2 linked regions of the Neodiprion lecontei genome follow. The protein of the gene in region 1 interacts with the protein of each later gene in a pairwise test. Links are inferred from orthologs where the notes say so. Each region holds a gene or a part of one and is shown on either strand. Other genes may lie near its edges.

Region 1 (10,981 bases):
TTAGTCTTGATGCCACTTATCACCACTTTCAGGATTGAAAAATAAATCAGAATCAGGCTGATTGATATCCACTCGCAGAAGTGAAGCGAAAGCGACGCCGGCTTTCCCGCCGTTGTTTTGTTTTCTTTCAAGCATACGAATTAACTTCAATTTCAGAGATATAATACGATCATGATTATACCTATAAATAAATAATTTTACATAACCGAAAGATCTGTTAAAATTTACTTTGCTTTTTTACAGAACCATTCTTTCCTATGCATAACCAGCAATATCATAAAGATACAGTTTTGTTTTGAAATCCCAAACTACTTTTTTCATGTTATATTCTTTTTCTTCATATCCACAAATAGATGTGTTATCTTCTTTTTCTTTAACAATCGTTTTCTCACAACATTTACTGTAATGTTGTTCTGTAATAATTATAAGGGAAGTTACCAATACCTGATTTATTATAGAAAATGTTTGTAAGAGATGCGAAAGCTCAGTATTTGATCATAGGATCAAGGATTGATGTGTGTGTTACAATTTATTACAAAGTCACATTTATTAGTTTAGCTCAGCTATTTCAGTGTCATGAATAATATAAACTTGGAGTTCTATATACATTCTACCTTACGCGTCTGCTGTTGTTAATGACAATAGTAATCATAATAATGTTCAATCCTTTTGTTCAATATTATTTTTCTGTTTATTCAGCAAGTTACTCATTTCTTATTCTTGCATTTTCATCATCACCATCATTATCATAATCATCTCATCATCTTATCATAATCATCATAATCATCATCATCATCATCATCATCATCACCACCATCGTCTTTCTCTCGTTGATATTTTTTATCAAAGTGTGCTGCAAATCGGTATAAATATAAACTACTAAGGGAGGGTAGGGAGTAGGTATAATAGTATATGTATCGCCGTATTAATCGATAATAATCCGTCGATATCGTAACTTAGATAAAATTTAGAAGACGTGTAACACTTTCCTTGGCTCTGTATTTATGAATGTGTGTATGCATGTATGTTAGTACTTAATAATATTGACACATAGCCACTACAATCACCTCTTACTTATTACCCGGTTCCTACGATAGAAATAATTGATCAGAGTAACAAAGGTGGTTTGTCTGGCCCAAAAAGCGTTACAAATCCTCTAGGGTCTTCCTAATATCGTTATAATTATTCATTTAATTTTATTTATTTAATCATTTATTTAATTATATTCTCGCTAGTCAATTGCCGCCATCCCCATGGCCTTGGATGGTTCAAATTGATGGGACATGGGACGACAGGCTTTACTTTTGATTGGTGTCAGTCTAAAGCTAGTATTTGGACGAAGTGCGAGGATGGGTCGTGCGTGCTTTGCTTTCTAAATTCAGCGTGCATTTCTGACACTATAAATTTAGTATTCTTTTTTCTTTTCATTGTTTAAGTATTTTTTTTTCGAGAAAGAAATTTCCTTTATGTAGTGTAGGTAGTAGGTAATTTTCTATTTTATGTTTTCGTTTCCCTTCACTTTTACTTTACGTTAAAACTTAGGGTTCTTTTTCGTTAGCTTTTTTTTTTTTATATACGTATTCTTCAGACTGGTTTTTTTTCATCGATTCATTTATCATTTGATTGCAATAATTGTTCTCAGAAAAAAACCATCATCGATTTGTGGTATGTTGGAAGTCGAGTGGCCCTAAAAGAGGCAGAGAGAGAGAGATATAGAGAGAGCAGGCAACGCACTGGTGCCTATATTTCTGAACTTGTAGATTGGCCATTACTTCTCCTAATTTCTTCTTATATTTTTCTCTGTTACAACTCAACAATTATGCTAGTCTCAAGTCTTCAGAGCAGAGTGCCGCGATTCCGTGAATAAATGGCAGCCCTCGACACTAAATATGGACACTTCTGTAAGAAAGAAGAGAGTTTTTTACCATCAAAATAAATGAATATATCCAACTTGCCGACAAAATCAAGTTTTCTCACAGGGTACTCTACCCTCTTTATTACGAAATTTAGACACCTAAATATTACCCAGGGAGATTTTGCCTATTTTACATATCCATTCTGTTGTTATAAAGGACAGAAAGTATTGATTCATCTTGCAAATTCAGATAAATGTTTCGGGAATAAGAATTTTGCATAACATGTGTTTAAATTTCATTTTGAACTTCAAGTTTAGGGGTAAAAACTACCTCTTTATAGATTGACAAACTGAAAAATCCACCTCAGGAAACAAGGACCAACTTACCGTCAGGCAACTCGTAAAGTTTTGGCGGAAGTGTCGCAAAATAAGGATGCCTAAGAGCGTCATCAGCGCCTATCCGATCATCTGGATTTAGCTGTAAAAGTGCGGAGGCCATATTATCACCTTCAGGAACATCGTACAGCCTGGGAAAGGAAAGTCCCAATTTTTGCAATGGATAAAATGCTAGTTTGTGGGCTTGGTATCCACGTAGATGTGTGACGCCTGGCCAACTATCTTCGGTCGGTGTTCCAAGAACTCTGAATATCTTATCGAGTTGATCATAAGTATCTCGGACACCTGGGAAAGTCGGCAGCCCTGTCAACATTTCTACAAATATGCATCCAACGCCCCACATGTCCAATGAAGTCGAGTACTCCGTCGAACCGAGCAGCACATCTGGCGGCCTGTACCACAGCGTCACAACCTCATGTGAATAGGTATGCGACGGTACTGACTTTGCCCGAGCCAGACCAAAATCCGCCAATTTCAATTCGCCTATTTCACTTATCAACAGGTTTTGGGGTTTCACGTCACGGTGCAGTACTCTTCTGTAATTTGTTATTATGAACATTAGTCACATTTGTTTTCTTTGTTGTATTCGTGTACAGGATATTGACTGTAATATCATGCTGGGATATACCCTTGGAAATTCCAGATTTTCTAAGCGGAAAATTTAATTCTTCCAAGACATTTATTATCCTGTACTCAAGTAGACGTATGCGACAAAATTGGTATTATTATACCACAACAAAAACGTTTAAAAGCAGGGAACGGATTCAGGTTCTTTTTTAATTCTGTACTCAGTCAAAATACAAAAATCGTAAATGTAAAATACTATTTATCCACCGAATATCTAGCTTGACCTAATAACATACGTCATTATCAGTTGTATGAAGTTTTCATTTCTAGAAATCTCATATATTTTAAATCAATCGAGACTACGCAATAGATAAGATACTGGAATATTGTTGCGAAGTACAAATTCTAATTTTTTTCCCACATTTTTCTCTCCCGTTAATAATTTGCACAATTCATCGATACCCTGAATCACTATGTAAAGCAATCTACTTGCTTTGCAAAGTATGAAATTCATTTTCCCTGTGAGAAAGTAAAATCTGTTCGTTAAATCAAAACTCTTCTCTAACAGAGAATGCAAGAACTCACCTGCGATGACAATAAGCTAGTCCTCTGAGTAGTTGAAATAGGAACAACCGAACGTTTCGCGGATCAAGGCCCCCTCCTCCGCTGCCGTGCCTCTCCATGTACTGTGACAAGTCGGTGTGAACGAATTCGAATACAAAAGTAAGAGTTTCACGAGTGTGAACAATATCATGGAGTGTAACTATATTGCTGTGTTTGAGCTCCTTTAAAAGGCTGGCCTCACGAATGGCAGTGAAAGGTGCACCTTCCTCTTCCTGTAGTCTAATCTCTTTAAGAGCGACAACCTGGTTTGTCAGATTACTGTACCCTTTGAATACTGTAGCATAAGAACCCTCTCCAAGCTGCTCCAGTTTGATGTAGGCATCTGATTTACCAAACGGCGAATCTCCCTGTGAACATGAAGAATATTTAAGGTTTCGAATAAACAGTTTCATCGAAGTTATTGACAACAGGTGATACAACTTACCCCGAATGCAGAGAAACGTTTTGCCCGTCTCGGGGGAGGGTCGGGCCCTAGGAAAACCTCGGATTTTGGACGAGGAGGACGTCGATTCCGTAGAACCACCCTTGCCTCTTCCCTTATATCTACATCGAGGAGCTTAGAATCACTAGAAACAGAGAGCTGTCGATGCACTCTCTCGTGTTCACCGACACCCGCCCACTCTGCAACATTGAAAATAATTTTTAATTAGCCCAACAGGTTTTCGTTTTCATCGCTAACCAAACTTAGAGAAAAGAAGACAAAGACTTAATGTGACGAAATATTTCATTTTATTCTACTTGCTCTGTTTGACTAGTTGACATTGTAAATAGATATATATATATATATACATATATATATCTATTTATATTTATATATCTGCGATCTACCACAAGGCAACTGAGTAAAAGAAAATAATATGTTGCATATTCTGCGAAACAGATATTTCTATTTGTAGATTGTATAGCCCTTCTTTATGACCCGCTTCTTATCATTTGTATACAGCAATGGTAAATAGGTATTATTTTTAAAAAGCGGGTATTTAGCATGCGTGTATTAATACGAACGTGTCTTGTCTTTGCCGTATAGTAATGAAGCAATCGAAAATATAATTAAGCATGTTTAACGAAAATTATCACGTTAGTTAACAGTTTGACTCAACTCTAAATCAGCTCCAGCGCATGTATGTATGTATGTATGTATCTACCTAGCTATAGCTAAAAACACTTGTGGTAACAGAATTTTAACACCTTGTCTGATATCAACCAATATAAAGATGCACACGCTGTTATCGAGTGACTTGGTAATTTTACCAGACATGTTATGAGAATTTGTTTGCAGCTATTATGACTGCGTCATAAGCATTTACGTTGAAGCTTTCAAGTTCATATTACAATGACCATAGTGTTATTTTATAATTGAATAGAATAACGATAGAAGTTTCACAGGTATGCTAAATGTGAAATGACGTCCAACATTTTACTCAATACAAGTGATTGATAACATCGACAACGTGATGAGATACAAGCCGTGATGTGTGTACGATTATCCACACGTTTGTTGGAGATACAAACATCATGATGAGAATCGATCTGTATTCTACTTGAATTTTGCGTGTCTGGCAGTACAACAGAAATAATTTTTTATGCCTCTAACAGTAAATGATCAAACAAAGTAATATAAGAAAATGAAAATCCCTTGAATGTTACAAGTGAAATTTGTTTTGCAGATCATTTTTATGCAAATTTTTCAAATTTTTAAAACTTTACTAACCATATCGTCGATCTTTGTCGGTAGGTATGTTACCATTTGGCTCTAAACGATCGAGAAATTCTTCTGAATACCCGTTATACGGTAACTGGTGTTCCCTTGTGGCAACATCGTCTGCTTCTTCCTTAGATATTGCTGGAAGTAAAAAGATGATGAAACATAATAACTGGGTAACATTTCTGTCCACAAAATTCTTACAATACACTTATATTTGTTTTTAACTCCTTATGCTCCAATTGGCCACTTCCGCCTACCCTGCTTATGAATATTTGCTATTGCCGGGATTATTAGATTTACCAAGTATGGTAAGACCGCGTACTTGCCTCTTTCCTTATCAGTTTACACTTTATTTACTGTTAAAACAATCCACAGGAAACTAATCATGATATAACTGATATGGTAGCAAAACAATATTCAACCTATCAAAGAATTCTACTTCTGAGGCAGCATTTATTCTTGTATCAGACCTTTCCATGTTTTATTATATATTTGACGCACGTCAATCTGTAAAAGGAATAATTTAACAATAAAATTCATTGGAACTAATTTCAAAATAGGAAGTGGCGCTGGTTAAGGAGTGTGCATACGAAGTGTGACATTAGTCATATCGATAAGAGTCATAAAACGGTACTTACAAAGTCTGCCAAAACTATGGCTAAGGCGTTTCTTGAGCTTTTGGACTCTGCTTAAGGCGCCTCCCTTCTTTTCGCGCATCGTCACAGAACCTAGATACGATTAATAATTAATTGTAATAAGCAACTGTATCGTAAGAATACAGAATGTAAATTATAGCACGCATACCGAGAAATGACAGAGAACTACGTCATATGAACGACTCATCGTACCGCTTGACCATCACACAAGCATTCACTATACACAGTGACGTCATTCACCACTTGCACAAACGGCATGCCAGTGCTCTTCCCCCCGCCCCTGCCCTCAATCTTGATAACGTTAAGAGAGCTGAATAGTCCAGTCCAATTTAGTGCTCGACAATAAATCGTAGGTGATATGAATTATGAAAATTAGCCTGTATCATGCCAAGCAAAGTTTAATAAATCAATTGTCACGTTAGAGATTTGTTCCTCTAACAATCAATCGGTATTCGATACTACGAGATGACAGAACGCGATCAAGTCTGTCGCATTGAAATTTTATGTGTGAGTAGAAAAACACACGCGAGAAGCGACGGCGTCCTTTTGACGTCTAGTCAATCGAGCGACGGCAAATGTTTTTTTACGGATCTTGTTAAGGTTCGCGTGAGTTTAAAGGTATTCGAGAAATGCCCTGGCTGGCCGGCTGTCTCCTTCTCAAGTCCAGTCACCTAGTCCAGTCATCCACCCCCGCATTTTACGGGGCACTTGACGTCCGTCTAGTTCTGTTTTCCCCCCTCCCGGCCTTTCGCTCGTTGCCGTTGTCGGTGACGGACAAAGGGCAAGGAGGTATAAAAAAAAAAAAGAAATTAACCGTTGATTTTAGCAGATTAGCGGGACGGTAAATAACGATCGAAGAAGAATATATCGAGAAAACAATACAGAAAAAAAAAAAAACAAACAACACACGACTATCGCAGCCGGGAAAATTGCAGGAAACTCGGTCGTGCTCGTCGGCAAGGTTCGCCAAGTGCGGTAGACTTACCTTCTTTGCTTTTCGAGGCGACTGAGCCCTTATCTTGACAGTACATGATTATTCATTCACAAACATGGGTGGGGACACATCAGGTTCCGATTCTCACCGACGAATTGAGCCGATGTTGAAATTTGGTAAAAAGTCACAACACGTTAAACCGATCGCCATTAAAATTTCCTCTCTCCGGCTTAGCTGATTTACTTTGCTTTACTTCATTCTATTTTCTCACGACGTTCACACACTCGCGATGTCAAAGGACGGACACTTTTTATCGAGACTGATTATTGTTACATATTACTTTTTTCTTAGCAAGGAAATTCTCCCTTTTCTTTCTCTCACTCTGTCTCTCTCTCTCTCCTTCCTTCCCGACTCCTTTCTTTCTGGTATAATCCGTTAAGCACGGATATTCGCGGATCTTCTACTGTCCCACGCTCGAGAATTAACTGCTATCTCGAGTGAACGATCATTGGACTTGATATCTCGAACACGAAGCTGACCCCAGCTTCTGTCGATTCTCCCGAGCGGTTGTGATGTGTGCCGTGGGTGCCGTGTGGCTACACAACAGAAAAGTACAAAACTGACCGAGCGACTGCCCCCTGCATCGCACTGTTACCACCTCAAAGTGCAATCGTTTAAAAACCCGAAACTTTTCTTAAGAAGAAGCAGTAGCGAAAAAATATTTCTAGTATACGCTCTGTTTTAACCTATCCGTCGTTAGCCGAAAACTTGCACGCACATTACACCGACGAATTACCTCCTTCCCGCCTTCTCTTCACACTCGAATACCTGATGTTAATTTAAATGACTAATGTTAATCCCTTGTAAATATGACTTTTAACTCCGTAAAAAAATTTCGACCCGTGAATAACGATATCGAAGAAGGAGCAAACTTCACTCGACAGCTTATACTACTCGAGCGCTCCGTGGCACCGTTGAATATGAATATAAGAGAGTTGACTACCATAATATCTTTCAATCATGATTTTCTTTGCTCACGTTGGCAGCCCTGAATCACCCGGGACCTATACTACGGAGAAGAGTTAACTCTAGGCAATATTTGATTCCATCTTCCAGACGAAGTGCCGGTCGGTAATTCAGAAGTTTGTACACTATGTTTTTAATTATTTTTTGCATATTTGGATCGTTTTCAAACTTAGAATACGTCAAAACTTCTGGAAGTTACGCCCTGTTTTAGAATACCCAACAGTTTCAACATATTAATTATTCGGTGAACCAGAAACTCAACGCCTGTACCTTTTCAACGTTTCAAAAAAATTGGCAAGTATATTATTGTCACCTAATGCATTGGCAAACTAATCGCATTCAACGAGTATTGAACGCTAGGGTAATTTGCCAGATGCATGCGTGTCCTTTTCTATCGTAAGTCCGTAAAAAAGGATAGAGACTCCGCGAATTTTGCCTACGACCTTAGCTCACATTTCCACCTAATCGAAGGGTATGCGGAAGCGATGAGCGGCGTGGAGCGGCGGCGGATCTGTGCGACGTGCAACATTTGTATGTGCGCTACGGTACAACTGTCAAAATAATAGGGAATGGAAATTATGTAAATTACATTTGTAAATTATGTAAATACAGCGTATTATACACACATACGTAACACGTGTCAGCGAGTTATGAATGCTCTTGTTAAAAGCAAACAATCGGTTCAAGTGTTGACGAAAAATATGAACACGCTTGACGTTCAGTTGATTAAAATCTGAGAATCTCTTGAACAGCTCTCTTTGACGTTGCCACGAAGTGTCACACGCTCGTATACGGCAACTTGATACCCGCTCATTGCAATGGATTTTAAAACCGTACACATAGAGAATTTGAACAGTAGCCTAAGAAAACAGGGCGATAAAAGGGAGATCAAAATTTTGTGCTTTGATTTAACTAACGCTAGCCAGAAGGCCCAACTTCTATGGTGCACCACTGGGGTTTTCGTTTTTTATCTTTTATACGGATATTTACAGGTAACAAACTATTTTCACAAAATGCATAATATGGGTTAGTACCTTTTGATACAATTTTCATACTTCACAGGAGCGGATATTTACCCTCGATGGATTCCAACCGTTCGGTTGGTACCTCACTCTCATCCAATTTGGATATTATACAATTTTTGGATGGATCGAATGTCGGATAAAAGGAGTCACTCGAAGAATACCTTTGGGCACTTATTTACTACTTGCTCTCCTTACCCTTGGCACTATGGGATTCTCTAATTCCTCATTAGGATATTTGAATTATCCGACACAGGTAAAAATTAATGCAAGATTGACTGACAGCCAGTAATTCTTTTCCTCGGTTGCAATTGCATGTCCACTATTTAGCTTCACTCAAGTTGAACTCAACTGCTGAAAGAATTTATGATAATAGTAACTCTTTTTTCAGTGAAATATTGTATCAAATGTTTTATCGAATATTGGCATATTTGACTATTTTTTGAGAGAAATAATCATCTAACAATTTTGTGATTGCAAAGCAAATAACAATTAACTTTATAAAACGTTTGTGAATTATGTCCTTTAGGTGATATTCAAATGCTGCAAGCTAGTCCCAGTCCTAATAGGCAGTATCTTGATACAGGGCAAAAAATACGGCCCCTTGGATTTTCTCGCTGCAATTCTGATGTGCATAGGCTTAGCGCTCTTCACAGTTGCCGACAGTATAATTTCCCCTCGATTCGATCCAGTCGGCATCATGATGATCAGTTGCGCCCTGTTATGTGATGCGGCTATAGGAAACATTCAGGAGAAGGCCATGCGCGAGCACAAGGCGTCGAACACTGAGGTTGTCCTATTCTCATACAGCATTGGATTCGTCTACTTATTCCTGATACTGTTGACAATATCCGACCTACAGACGGGTGCTTCTTTCTGTGCCGAGGTAAAAAAACATTCAACCCAATTTAAAGATTGTTGTGGATGTTGTTACTCTTTTTGGTTCATTTTTATATATATTATTACTTGTTTCAGCATCCTATTGAAACGTATGGACTTGGCCTGCTCTTTTCACTGTCCGGTTACTTGGGTATACAGATTGTTTTGACTCTGGTCCAATGCTGCGGAGCATTCGTTGCAGCAACTGTTACGACATGCAGAAAAGCGATATCGATTTTGATTAGCTTTATGTTCTTTTACAAACCATTCACCTTCCAATATGTGTGGTCTGGCCTGATCGTCGTTCTTGGAATCTACTTGAATATTTACAGCAAGAAACGAGGAGGGACTAAAGGTGGCTTTAGAGAATTATGGATAGGACTTAAGCAGTGTTGGATTAAGCACAACCGAATACAAAGACGATTACTGACTAATGTTTAATATTCCTACCAGTAACGAGGCAAACAAAGTTTTTTGTTCCTATTATGAATTATAATTATTATTGCTCAGTCAAATTATTTTTACTTTTTTCAATTCCTTGCTTCTCCAAATTCCTGCAAATCCGAAGACTCGATTAAAGTAGATTATTTTATTTATTAGAGATTACAAGACCAGCTATATATAGGTATATATGTGTGTGTGTGTGTGCGTGTGTATATATATATATATATATATAAGCTAAGATTTCAGTAATTTCCAGAGAAATAATTCCGGTATTATCAAGAATGAAAATGGAATGGAAAAGAAAATTTCGAAGTCCGTGTTTCGTATTTAGTATGTGATTTATAAGAATATTCGGAACCCCAAGTTAGCAAGCGGACGGTTGCGGCCTCACCCGTCTTCCCGCCACCCTGCCGCTCGTTGGATGATAAAAAATCTCGAACTATTCCACGTGCTTACATAATCAAATTTCAATAAGAATATAACTTATAGATATACAATTAAAATAAAAACAAATGTTCAAGTAACAAAATTCTATAGATATACCTAAATATTAATGAACAAATTAAGGAAAATATTTATTCCAGGACGGCGTACTTCTCGATTATTTGTTTAATCTAAAGCTTCTTTTTTTTTTAAATTAACAGTAGAATTTCCTCCAAACTTCAAAAATGGTTACGTAAGAAATTACTTTATTTTCACGATGGCGAAATGTTGGTAGCAGTGTCAGGGATCCAACCCGCAAATCGCATTATTCATCGTTCAGATTCAATCAAGAACTCAGGTGATTTGATGCGTCTCGTAGACAAATACCGATACATTTCAAATTACTCGATAGAATACTTGGCAGCGATCACCTGCCATTATCAATTAATC
Region 2 (11,213 bases), on another chromosome or scaffold:
TTCAAAATACGAATTATTCTCCAGTACAATAAATTTTTTGTTCAAATTTTTTGAGTAAGCTACGATGCTTAATTTTTGTGATATCAAATCCCCGGCATTCCGACTGGGTGTATCGGACCGTTTACAGTACACGGTCTTGTCATTCCGCTTCTTCATCTCCATACCAGGTGTGACTTTCATATGTGTTCTGATGAATACGTAGGTTACACGGATACACGTACAAGTGAGCATCGGCAGGTTGGCGGTGATAATAGTATGTACACAATAAACTCAATATAGAAATGACTTAAGGTGGAAGATTAATTCGATGCGCTGTAGGTATAATGTTCATGAATATGCATGATGCATCGTGAAACTTGACCATAATCACCTTGCGTATAATTGTCACGACACTGCCGCACACAATAACAAATTCAACAGGTCGATATACCGCGGTAGGAGATATTTACAAAGGCGCGAACTAAAATAACAAATTTGCGGTAAACGAAAACGCCATTTTTGGTCCTCCGATCAGAAGTCACACCGCATTAGTACAAATACTAGTTTTTACGCGACGTATTACGACATTATCCGCATATTGATGTCGATCGCTTGAAGCCTCGGACTTTACTGACTGCCGCAATGCAAACTATACCGAGTAACTCGATGTTGCCGGTTTGTGTTGGTGATTCAGGTAGTAATACACGGCTTTATGGCCTCGTCGCGCAGGTACGAATGAATCGTTTCTTAGCATTTTCTTCTCCTTCTGCACCAATACGAAAGTTCGTTTGGTGCTGAGCCCCCGGCCACTTCATGGCCAACGATGGTGGTACAATATAAGCGTACAGGCAGCTGTGCTTACATTAAGAAACCCACCCACAGCATCGTGTCTTTGCGGAACACAAAAAAAAAAAAAAAAAGAAATAATACTAAGACGTTGAGTGGAAATTTGTTTCATCTACTTTTAACCCATTTCATTAATTCTATTCTACTTTGTGAGATAACAAATGTACACTATTGACAAGCAACGAGCGATTCAATTAATCAACGATTTTGGAATTCGCTGTTATTGTTATTATCACGTCATTGCATATTATTTGGTAGGCATTCACGTGGGCTCAATGAAATTCTCATATCGGCCTACATTGTTGTGGGCGGTCATCTCTCCTCTGCAGTTTAATACGTATAAATATGTATAGTTATACGCCGTTTTACAATTAGCCTAATTTTCTACATCATAGTATGTTATGTACACACGCGTAACTACAAGTTAGGTACTTTTGACTGACGATGAGTAGGTAAACACCGAGTTTCAAAAGTGTCACTATCTCTAGATATTTGTCGAATTACTGGCATATTTCTGTTTACCGTTAATGTGTGAGGTTTTATTATGTGTATGACTATATTATGTCACAATATATATTGAAAATGATATTGTGTCTTCATGAAAATACAGCATTAAATTATAATTTATCTATTTTACACAGACAAGACTTACGTAAGGACTACCTGTTGACTAATTTTTCTATATCCATCTCACGATGCTATTATTTAACAGAGCAAAAATTGTACGTTTCAAAAATATCTCTATAGAAATAAACAACAACAGATTCGAAGCTTTTATCATTGATTGTTATCAGTATTTTACTGAAACATCCTGTACGTTGGTGAATTATCTAATCTTCGCGTGAGTTGAATGCTGGAATAGGCACTACGGTTCCCAAGGCCGCGTTTAACTTAGCCATCGTCGAAATCTCCATACACTATACTGGTTGGAAAGAGATCACTGAAATCGCTGAAAGAGATGCCTTGTAAGCAGCTCAAAAAAGGTAATCGTCATTTAGAAGTTTTTCGAATCTGTGTAGGGTTGGGCGTAAATATACACATAATAAACGTCGCTGGTGCTTCATACAAAAATGCAAGCAAACAGATTATTCAAAATCATGAGATATCAATGACTTAAAACTTAATTTACGTTTCCCATTTTCTGAGTGATATATATTTTATGGAAAGCTCGCACAAATATTTCGAAAAGTTATGATATTATAGAAGTTTCTTATTATCATATCTTCTAATCTTCAACTAAAAATTAGTTCTCAGAATTTTCGAAACCATTCAAAATACAATAAAGTTTTATTTAACATTAATTTAAATTTTTTGTGGTTCTGAATTGTGCCCAACTTAGAGGTACTCTGTGTCTCCTACGTCAGAAATTTTTGATTATGCTGCTTGCTCTCTTATCGTTAGCTTAACAATGGCAAGTTAATAGAAACAAGGTCAGTGCGCATGCGCTTTCATCCCTGACTCAATAGCTCTCTCTTCGAAGCGGAGCCGATCTTTTTCGGACAAACTGAAAAGTTAGACCAGTTAGACCTTGCAGATTGACACAAAATATTTGAATGGAAGCAGTTTGGAAAAAATGTTCCAGTAAATTCAACTGATGGAATTTGATTCATAAATGAAACAGAATATTCTAGTGTACGGATTTTACCTTACTTCAAATTTTTTAACTAGAAGGATGATAAAAATTAAAGAAATTAATTAACTATCGATGCAAAGAAAATTATTTATTAATGATTATATGGATAAAATATACTTCATTAATTCTGACTCGCGAACAAATGTAAGTTTCAATTATGGGTTCATTAGCAATATTCTTGATAATACGAGGAATAGAACAATTTATAGTACAAAATAGTATGTTTTAATATATTTAGTACGACATGCGACATGAGTACTGTTTTGCATCGCTTCCAGGAAGCGCTATATCACCTAAAATACGGCTTTATCAAAGGTTGACATGATTCACACGCAAGGTCTGATTATCAACAGCATTCTTTGAAGCTTTGTAATAGCTAACACGACCTTAAATCAAATGGAAATGCTATTGTTTATTTAGGAGTGTTACATAACTTATACGTAGAAGGCGTGTCACGTTCTGTTCACCACTTGAGTGTTTAATATTGCAGCTCATTGCAGTAAAATAAAGTAACATAGTTTTAAAGCAGTAAAAAGATATTATATGATAGACGTTATAAGTAACCAAAATCTCAGGAGTTCGGTTTATCAAAACTGTTCTATACTTGGTCTACACGCCAGACTTAACTTAGCCGACTAAACAACAAGCATACTTTGTTGCGTCTACACGCTGTACTTAAATATCGATAGATATCGGAATAATCGACTCCGAGAAGAAAAGGGTTTCATCATTACCGAAAACCTTCCTTTTCTTTCTGCCGTCGTTTATTGTTGTAGATCTAAAAAATGATTTAAAGTGATAATAGAAACATAACGGTGCACCATGCAACCATTTCTTATTCATCATTAGTGACCGGCTGAAAGCTAAACGAAATAAAGTTATAATACGATTACGAATATATGGAATCATGTATTTGAAGTGAATGGCAATTTTTTTTATCACTTACCTTTTTACAAATCAAAATTTACACTATTTTTTATCAGCTTCTTACCTTGGTAAATAATTATGATCGACCAATACTATTCATATCTATCGATATTACCAAGCATATCGGGGGCTTAATCAGGCTCTGAAATGAGTTTAACCTCCGCCGCGCGGCTATGAGTGCGCACGTCTACACGACAACTTCAGCCTGTCTGAACTTACCGAGTTAAACCGCGTGTGGACCAGGTACTACTTCCAGTAACTCATATAGTTAGACTCGATAGTTAGATACAGGTCCGCTTTATCGGTTCTTCGCTTTCGGATGTATTCCGAAATATACTTCCAGTACTGCCGACCGTGACGTCACGCAGTCAACTGCGAACTGCGTTCCATTTTTACTTCGAGTTGCCAGTCGCAGTAAAATCGGAACGCTACACCGAGGACGCGGCCATCTCTCAAGTACTGCAACTGCCTCACATCCCAGGCCGCAGAAGTCGCAGTCAACAATGTCACAAATTTCATGACGTCACTGACAGGCGGCAGTAAGCTGTCGCGCAATTTCGGTACGCGGTTGCTAGTACTTGCAGTACTGCGAGTATATTTCGGAATACACCCTTGATTATGACCCTCATCCGAGCGTTTTGATTGGTACAGAGTATATATTCACTGCGGAATAGCTGCCCAAATCCAATCAGATCATCTATTCAACACTTCGATAAAGGATGGCGGCGAAAATGGGAGTAACCGACCGGACTCTGTTCAACTCAACCAGTTAAAAATGCTATTAGACTATTCGTACAGCCGTCGAAGTTTCGCAGATAACAAACCTCTCCCCCCCGTGTCGAAATTGTGTATACAGACTGATTCGCATCCCCGCGGTTCATGAAAAGCGGTGTTTAATATTGTTCTAAGAGAACGTGTTTACTATGCGCAGTAAAATGATACTAGCGAGGATCCGATGAGGTACTCAACCTCAAAAATTGCCGGCAAGTGTTCGCAGCAGCGTTAGGCGTGTCACAGTTATTGGAGCCGTTTACAATTGGTTACATCTGTGTGTGTACACGATATATATACATATATTTTTTATATTGTAACTTCTGCTCGTTTCATCCAAAGTGTGCCAAACAGAAGTCTTGAGACAATTACCGGACTCAGTATCAATGAGCGTTGAATAAATAAGTTTTACGAGACTCGGTAAGTGGTCGCGATGAAAATCAACGGAATGTATTTTGTCGCCCGTGTCACCATCATCATCACCACGACCCGCATCAGCTGATCGTGTCAAATTGACATGTAGATTTAGTTTGTCAAATTATGTCTAATCCTTGTGCGCTACGAGCATTTACCTCCTCAATGTTTTCGTGAAGGGAGTGAAAAGAACGAGTAGAGAAAACGGTATAGAGAATAAGGAGATATTCGTGAGATCGTCGGTCGTCGAGATCGTCGTGAGATATTAAAAAATTAGAAAGCTATCAAGTTATGGGCAATAAGAATAGTTGCTGTGTTTACGCAAGCCCTCAAACAGGGCGGAAGGAATTAGGGCGTGAGTGCGGAGGCAGAGGGCTAGAGGAACATCTTCCAGAGGGTGAAATCAGTGCGAATAACTTGCAACATATAAGCGAGCGTGAACCAGAAGATTGGGACTCGGACCCATCGCTACATCCATGTGCAGGCACAATTTTTATGGAGCGATCTAAACAGGCAATTGAAAGTGAGTTTTATTTTTCTATAATTCTGTGTCAATCTGTACGTCGCTACACTGAATTGTTCTCAATTTTGCAGATGGAATGGTTAGGAAAAAAAGTCAGCACCAAATTGCTGACACAAGGACGTTGAAGAAAAGCAGCAGTTGTAGCACCATCTATCTTGATGATAGTACCGTTTCGCAACCCAATCTTAAAAATACCGTTAAATGTGTCGCGTTAGCTATATATTATCACATTAAGAATCGAACGTCGCAACGTCAAATCGACATATTCGATGAAAAACTTCACCCACTTACGGTGAAAGACAATGCTATGAGTACTTTTAATACAAGTACTAATCTATTTGGTTATTCAAATTGCAGGTGTGTTAACTGAATTTTGTGTTTCAGAGAGATGGTGTTTCTGAAGACTATCACAGACATAATCCAGAGCATAAGCAAATATACAAGTTTATTAGAACATTGTTTAATGCCGCTCAGCTCACAGCTGAATGTGCTATTATAACACTAGTTTATCTAGAACGGCTTCTCACTTATGCCGAAGTTGACATAACTCCTGCTAATTGGAAGCGAATCGCACTTGGTGCCATACTTTTATCTTCCAAGGTGTGGGATGATCAGGCAGTGTGGAACGTTGACTATTGTCAAATACTTAAAGATATCACTGTGGAAGACATGTACGTACTTATACCATCACATTACTCGATTCTAAATGCATAAATTCGTTTAATCTAGAAATCTGAAATATCACATCGCAAAATACAATACTTGTGTGCATATTAGGGGTAAAAATATAGAAGGATCAGAAAATAGAAGGTTTATAATATCAAATTTTAAAGGAAGCAAAAGGCATTTTTTTCGCACTAAGAAATAGAATAGAAAAAATGCATTAAATTCTAGAAGTTGACTGATCTGCTTCACATGGAATAACAGGAAAGTTTCTCTTTAATGTTTTGGCCCACGCATACATGTATAGAATACATGGATGTATATTTCCCATTTAATAACTCATCGAAGTCTTGTGTGGTTAAATTTAATGCACAGTAAAACACTACAATCCAAATTGTTGAAAGAAAACATTGAAAGTTTCAAGTTAGAATCACTCTGTAGGTGATGTGAGCCACTTAAGTTACCTTAGCGTGACTTGCAGATTTTGCTGAATCTTCGCATACTAATAGAGCAGTTATAAATAATATAGTATATATTTTTTCGTGTTGGCAATGGTTCAGCTTTGAGGGTGAAACAGCCCCTATTATTTGTCAACTTGTGAAAGAATTGCCGAATAACTTGAAATTAAGGCATTGAAAAATAGTATATTGTATGCAGCTATGTTAACTCCAATATTCGACGTACGCGATCGTAGCACTTGCCTTCGATTCGTGCCGCCAACTTCACACTTTTTAGAAATTGTCCAGTTTTCACATTTGTAACACAAGATACTGTGTATGAGAGCTGTAATAACACGAGTCAGATATCGCGGATCTGCACATGCGACATACGTTATCTGTCGTAAGAGCTGTGAAAGGAAGTTAGATTTGAGAAACACCAAAGGTGCCACTCACAGTGCGTGAAATTGGGATCAGGTAATTTACACTCAATGACGCAGTGTGTAATATTGAATTATTTGAAAGAGCACATGCGCCAAAGAAAACCCTAGTATGTAAAACTGAACATCTCAGTTGTGTGCATATACCGTTGTCTTATCGCACTATTCGGAAATTAGGCACTTCAAGCAGCATGCTTCAAAGGCTTTGAAATCCGAACGTTCCAATCAGGTGGTGGAAAAAGAATTACATATGTTAGTTACAGGAATTGAAATAATATTTTTAGTTACAGGAACGCAAGATGAAATTTTACACACCCGTGTGTGAAATCTTACGTCCGTTTAACCCTTTCTGCCCTATCGGTGACTGTAGTCACCCAACGCCCGACGCTCGCTCTGTCCGAGCGGTGACTATAGTCACTCAATGCCTGACGCTCGCTCTGTACGAGCGGTGACCATGGTAACCCAACATTTGACGCTCGTTATGTACGAACGGTGACCATGGTAACCCAACATTATGTTATAATTTTTTAAGCATTTTTTTTACGAGCGACTGCACTAGCTCTGCGTAAGATAGCGTGGGATTGTGCGTCTGACGGGCGCTTGCAGTTGTTCCGCAAGTACGGACGCCTGCCGCGACTGCTCGATCAGCGGGGACGGCGCGACGTAGAATGCGTCCGTACCGAAAGGGTTAATGAACATCTGTTTTTGCACGAGTATGCATAAGTACGCGATTTTGTTTGTTTATTTTACCCTCTAAACTGAGCCATTGCCTGTATAAAAAAATATATGTCGAATCTTTGTGACTAGTCTACAAATATGACAAGTTTCAACAAAATCGATGAGTAACATTTGTCCATATATTCCCAAAATAAAACCAGCTTCTGAATTTTGTTGCAGGAACGAATTGGAAAGGCAGTTTCTGGAAATGCTACAATTTAATATAAATGTCCCTTCAAGCGTGTACGCAAAATACTACTTCGACCTCCGCACGCTTGCAGAGGCTAATGAACTAACATTCCCTAGTGAACCGCTTAGCAAAGAGAAGGCACAAAAGCTTGAGGCAATGTCCAGGGTATACGAAGACAAAGTAACGGCAGAAGTATTACGTAAGGGTATTAAAAAATGGTCCAGTTTGGACAATGTGTGTATAGGTGGACCGAGACGTAGCATTGCTATCCTTTCTTAAAACCATTATGGCATATAATGATGCTTCTACACTTACACTTTGGACGAATTAAGTGCGTACGTGGAAAAATGCTCAAACTGTCTCTCCTTCTCTCTCTCGACGTTTGTGGCGGTTAAATCTGCTTTGAACGAGTAACAATTTCACCCCAGTTACCTGAACCACTACCCAAATGCACTAAATTGGTTGTATAATTTATTCCCCATAGGCATATTCGATTAAGTTGCATTTGAAATATCGACTGAAACTCGTTAATCATTTTTCAGCGGCTCTAGATTCCGTTCTGAAGTGAATGTGTAGAATCTCCATTTATACAGCTTTTCAATCTTCCATCCATTGCAAACTATGTAGCAATTTTTCTTTTACTTCATGCTTCATCCTGCCACCAATATGATATGTAAGAGCTTATGCTCCTAGAAATAAAACAACATTGTGATATTCAACTGTCATAATAAGATTTAAAAAAAAAAAGGAAAAAAATATGTAACTCTAAGCATTTATATTATATTATCATTAGGAGAACTTATACTTGTTTTGTCGCAGATTTTAATCTAAAAGAAAAATGTAAATCTAATCGTATGCTTTGAACAAGCAAAGGTAGGTGACCAATAGAATAGTGTTATAAATTCAACAAGATCCTAATATAATCATCTGCACAGTTTTGGTGCTCTTCAAGGTATATTTTATAATTTGTGATATTAAATTTGGATAATCTTCAATGAGCCAAAGTAGCGGGAACCATTTTTGACAAGCAAACTTATAAACTTTTTGACGAAAACTCACATCAACGTCAGATTCTCCCTAAACTTAACACTGTTTTCTTTGTTAATTTCCCATATTTCTACACATTAATCTAATGAATTTACCCCCATCATGTGATGATCCTGTAAACTGCCATTTTATACATGTAATTTTTGTTCGTTTTCAATCAAATTGAATCATCAATCAGTGAATGTAATTGAATTCGTTATACATATTATACATTTGTCCCTTTGTAGGATACACCATCATTTTAATGGTCCACTATACGCATCATTCACATTGGATATATTACAACATTTTTTGAATTGGGATCACATCATGTTTTTATAGTATTAGTCAACGACGAATAAGAATGAGAAACCGTTGAAGGTTTAAACCTTGCATAACGGTTGAAAACAATTCCACATAAAAACTATTAGATGAAAGTTATAATTATATATGTAAATATATACATTTCTACTTTATTGTATTGGAAAGAAACGATTTCATATTGCTTGAAGTCTAGTAATAAAAATTAGTAATAAAAAATGTACCTGCCTGTATTTTAATATCACACCACAGTGTGTCATTCAACTTCGTATTTTATATTGTGAAAAAAATGAAAAATTCGAATATTCGTTTTACTGATCTAAGAAAGAAGTAAATATGTGCCGAATTATATGCATATATATCGACTCATGTTGAAAAATTACGAATAATATATACAATTATATACGCATTTCGTCTGTATGTAAGCATTTTATGGCAATCATGTACAACACTTATGTTTACAGAGCTGACGCCTATATAACTAGAGTATGACAGAATTTGCCCTAAGTGTTTTTTGTTTTACCTTGACTGTGAAAATAACGAGTGCTTCGAAGAAGAATTTGGAATACGTGAAAAATGAAAAAAAGGTAATTAGCTGAGAACCATATTGTTTATAATTAAGTGTAAAGTTTTAATAAATTATCCTCAGAGCTACATAATAGATATAATAGTAATAATAATTTTATATATGTATATGATAAAAAGCACACACGCATTGCAAAATCATTATATTCACAAGTTTATTTTCATCCTCGTATAATAATTCATAATTTATCATGATGTTTATCTTCTTCCAATCAAATTAATATACAATATATTTTATATCAATATTAGAATAGATAATAAGTGTTATATACGATACGATCTAATAAAGAAAGTTTTTTATAATAATATATTATATAGCAGCAGGAATGGCTCCCCACTATCTTACATGATTTTGCGTGCCCAAATCGTCGTCGGTGTTATTACCATTTATGTAATTATATTATTATTATTATTACTATTACTTATTACATGTATCATATCACCTATATGATTTATTATCATTATTATATAATGTATTTTATTTATATATATTTATATATTTATAACGAACACCACCCATTACTGCTAGTATTACGAATGGGAATTAAAACACCGCCTGCTTTCAAGCCTTAAACAACAATGCAGGATGTTGCTGAAAGTTGTAGTAGAGACCCGTGCTACGCTGATCGCTCGAGCAAAAATGTCTGTGTCTATACATCCCATTCTTTATAATTTAGTAGCATTTCCTCGTGTTTCTGTTTCTTTTTTTTTCTATCATCCCACTCATTTGCAGACACATTCACGCTGTGTGTTTGTTTATCTTTCCTGAATATGGTACATATCTGCAATTAGACATCAATCGTAGATTCCACGTATTCCATAACAATTTACCGATTACGAGACATTGAACAGTACCCGTTTATTTGTGAAAATACCGACAAGGACCGTAATATATACTGATAGATCTATTTTTCAGTAAAAACAATATTTCCGCCTACCGCAAATCCCCGTCGCAAATGGATAAAAAAAATTTGGATTTGAACGTTTTTGCCCTCTGCAAAACATGTTATATAGTAGTTCATAGGATGTTTGAAGAAAAAAAAGTTTACTCGATTAGATATGTTAATATTTAAGCAAGCTGGGAATTGTCCATTGAAACAACTGTACATAGAAGAATTAAAATTTTATTTGTAATAATGAAAACTTGACAGCTTACGAGGTGCTGCTGCAATATAAATGGTATATAAGGAGTACCATTTGAATACACTCATTACTTTTGAAGATTGATCGCTATCCATTTATAAATAATAGTCACTGTGGCGATAAATTCTTGACAACCTGTTTCACTATGCAATTCATTGAGATTTGACTGAGGATAATTTTACAAGTTTTTCAATTGGAGAGAAAGAAGCTTTGTTGTTACACGATTGAACAAGTTCAAATCCATCTTAATATAAGAATTATATTACAAAAATGTATCTAGTTAACATAAATGCAATGTACAAATAAATTTTCCGCTTGCTTTGTAGGATTCCAAGAGGCATTAAACCTAACAGCTACAACAAAAATATGTAACAAATTAATATTATCATACATTACACGTACTGTTTGTGAAAAATCACTTGCAGCAGTTGCTAGTGGTTGTCTTTTGTCCTTCTACTTCAACTAATCGACGACCTTGACCACTGGTACCTGCACTGCCGGTTTGTTCATTCTTTGGAAGCTTCTTAGCTGAAACATTTTGCAAAGCAGTCACTTGCAGGTTCGTCAATTTTCGTTGACTGTCAAAAAATGTCGATCT

Evidence for each region.
Region 2: the proteins of cyclin-dependent kinase 14 (region 1) and cyclin-Y-like protein 1 interact in a two-hybrid assay, tested with the Drosophila melanogaster proteins (2 studies listed by BioGRID). The link is inferred for Neodiprion lecontei from reciprocal best matches to the Drosophila melanogaster genes Eip63E and CycY.

Annotation. Positions count from the first base shown.
Region 1 is NC_060264.1:29,029,694-29,040,674, reverse strand, and holds cyclin-dependent kinase 14, read right to left. Parts: upstream 7,702-10,981; 5' UTR 6,835-7,701; coding exon 6,789-6,834; intron 6,571-6,788; exon of another isoform or gene 5,952-6,570; intron 5,876-5,951; coding exon 5,786-5,875; intron 5,286-5,785; coding exon 5,154-5,285; intron 4,064-5,153; coding exon 3,867-4,063; intron 3,790-3,866; coding exon 3,404-3,789; intron 2,788-3,403; coding exon 2,243-2,787; intron 1,900-2,242; coding exon 1,829-1,899; 3' UTR 1,526-1,828; downstream 1-1,525. Other genes in the region: adenosine 3'-phospho 5'-phosphosulfate transporter 2, read left to right, coding at 8,582-8,755, 8,826-9,041, 9,315-9,671, 9,761-10,105.
Region 2 is NC_060261.1:13,526,998-13,538,210, reverse strand, and holds cyclin-Y-like protein 1, read left to right. Parts: upstream 1-3,965; 5' UTR 3,966-4,861; coding exon 4,862-5,093; intron 5,094-5,164; coding exon 5,165-5,385; intron 5,386-5,477; coding exon 5,478-5,764; intron 5,765-7,530; coding exon 7,531-7,819; 3' UTR 7,820-10,098; downstream 10,099-11,213. Other genes in the region: ras-related protein Rab-5B, read right to left, coding at 11,031-11,143.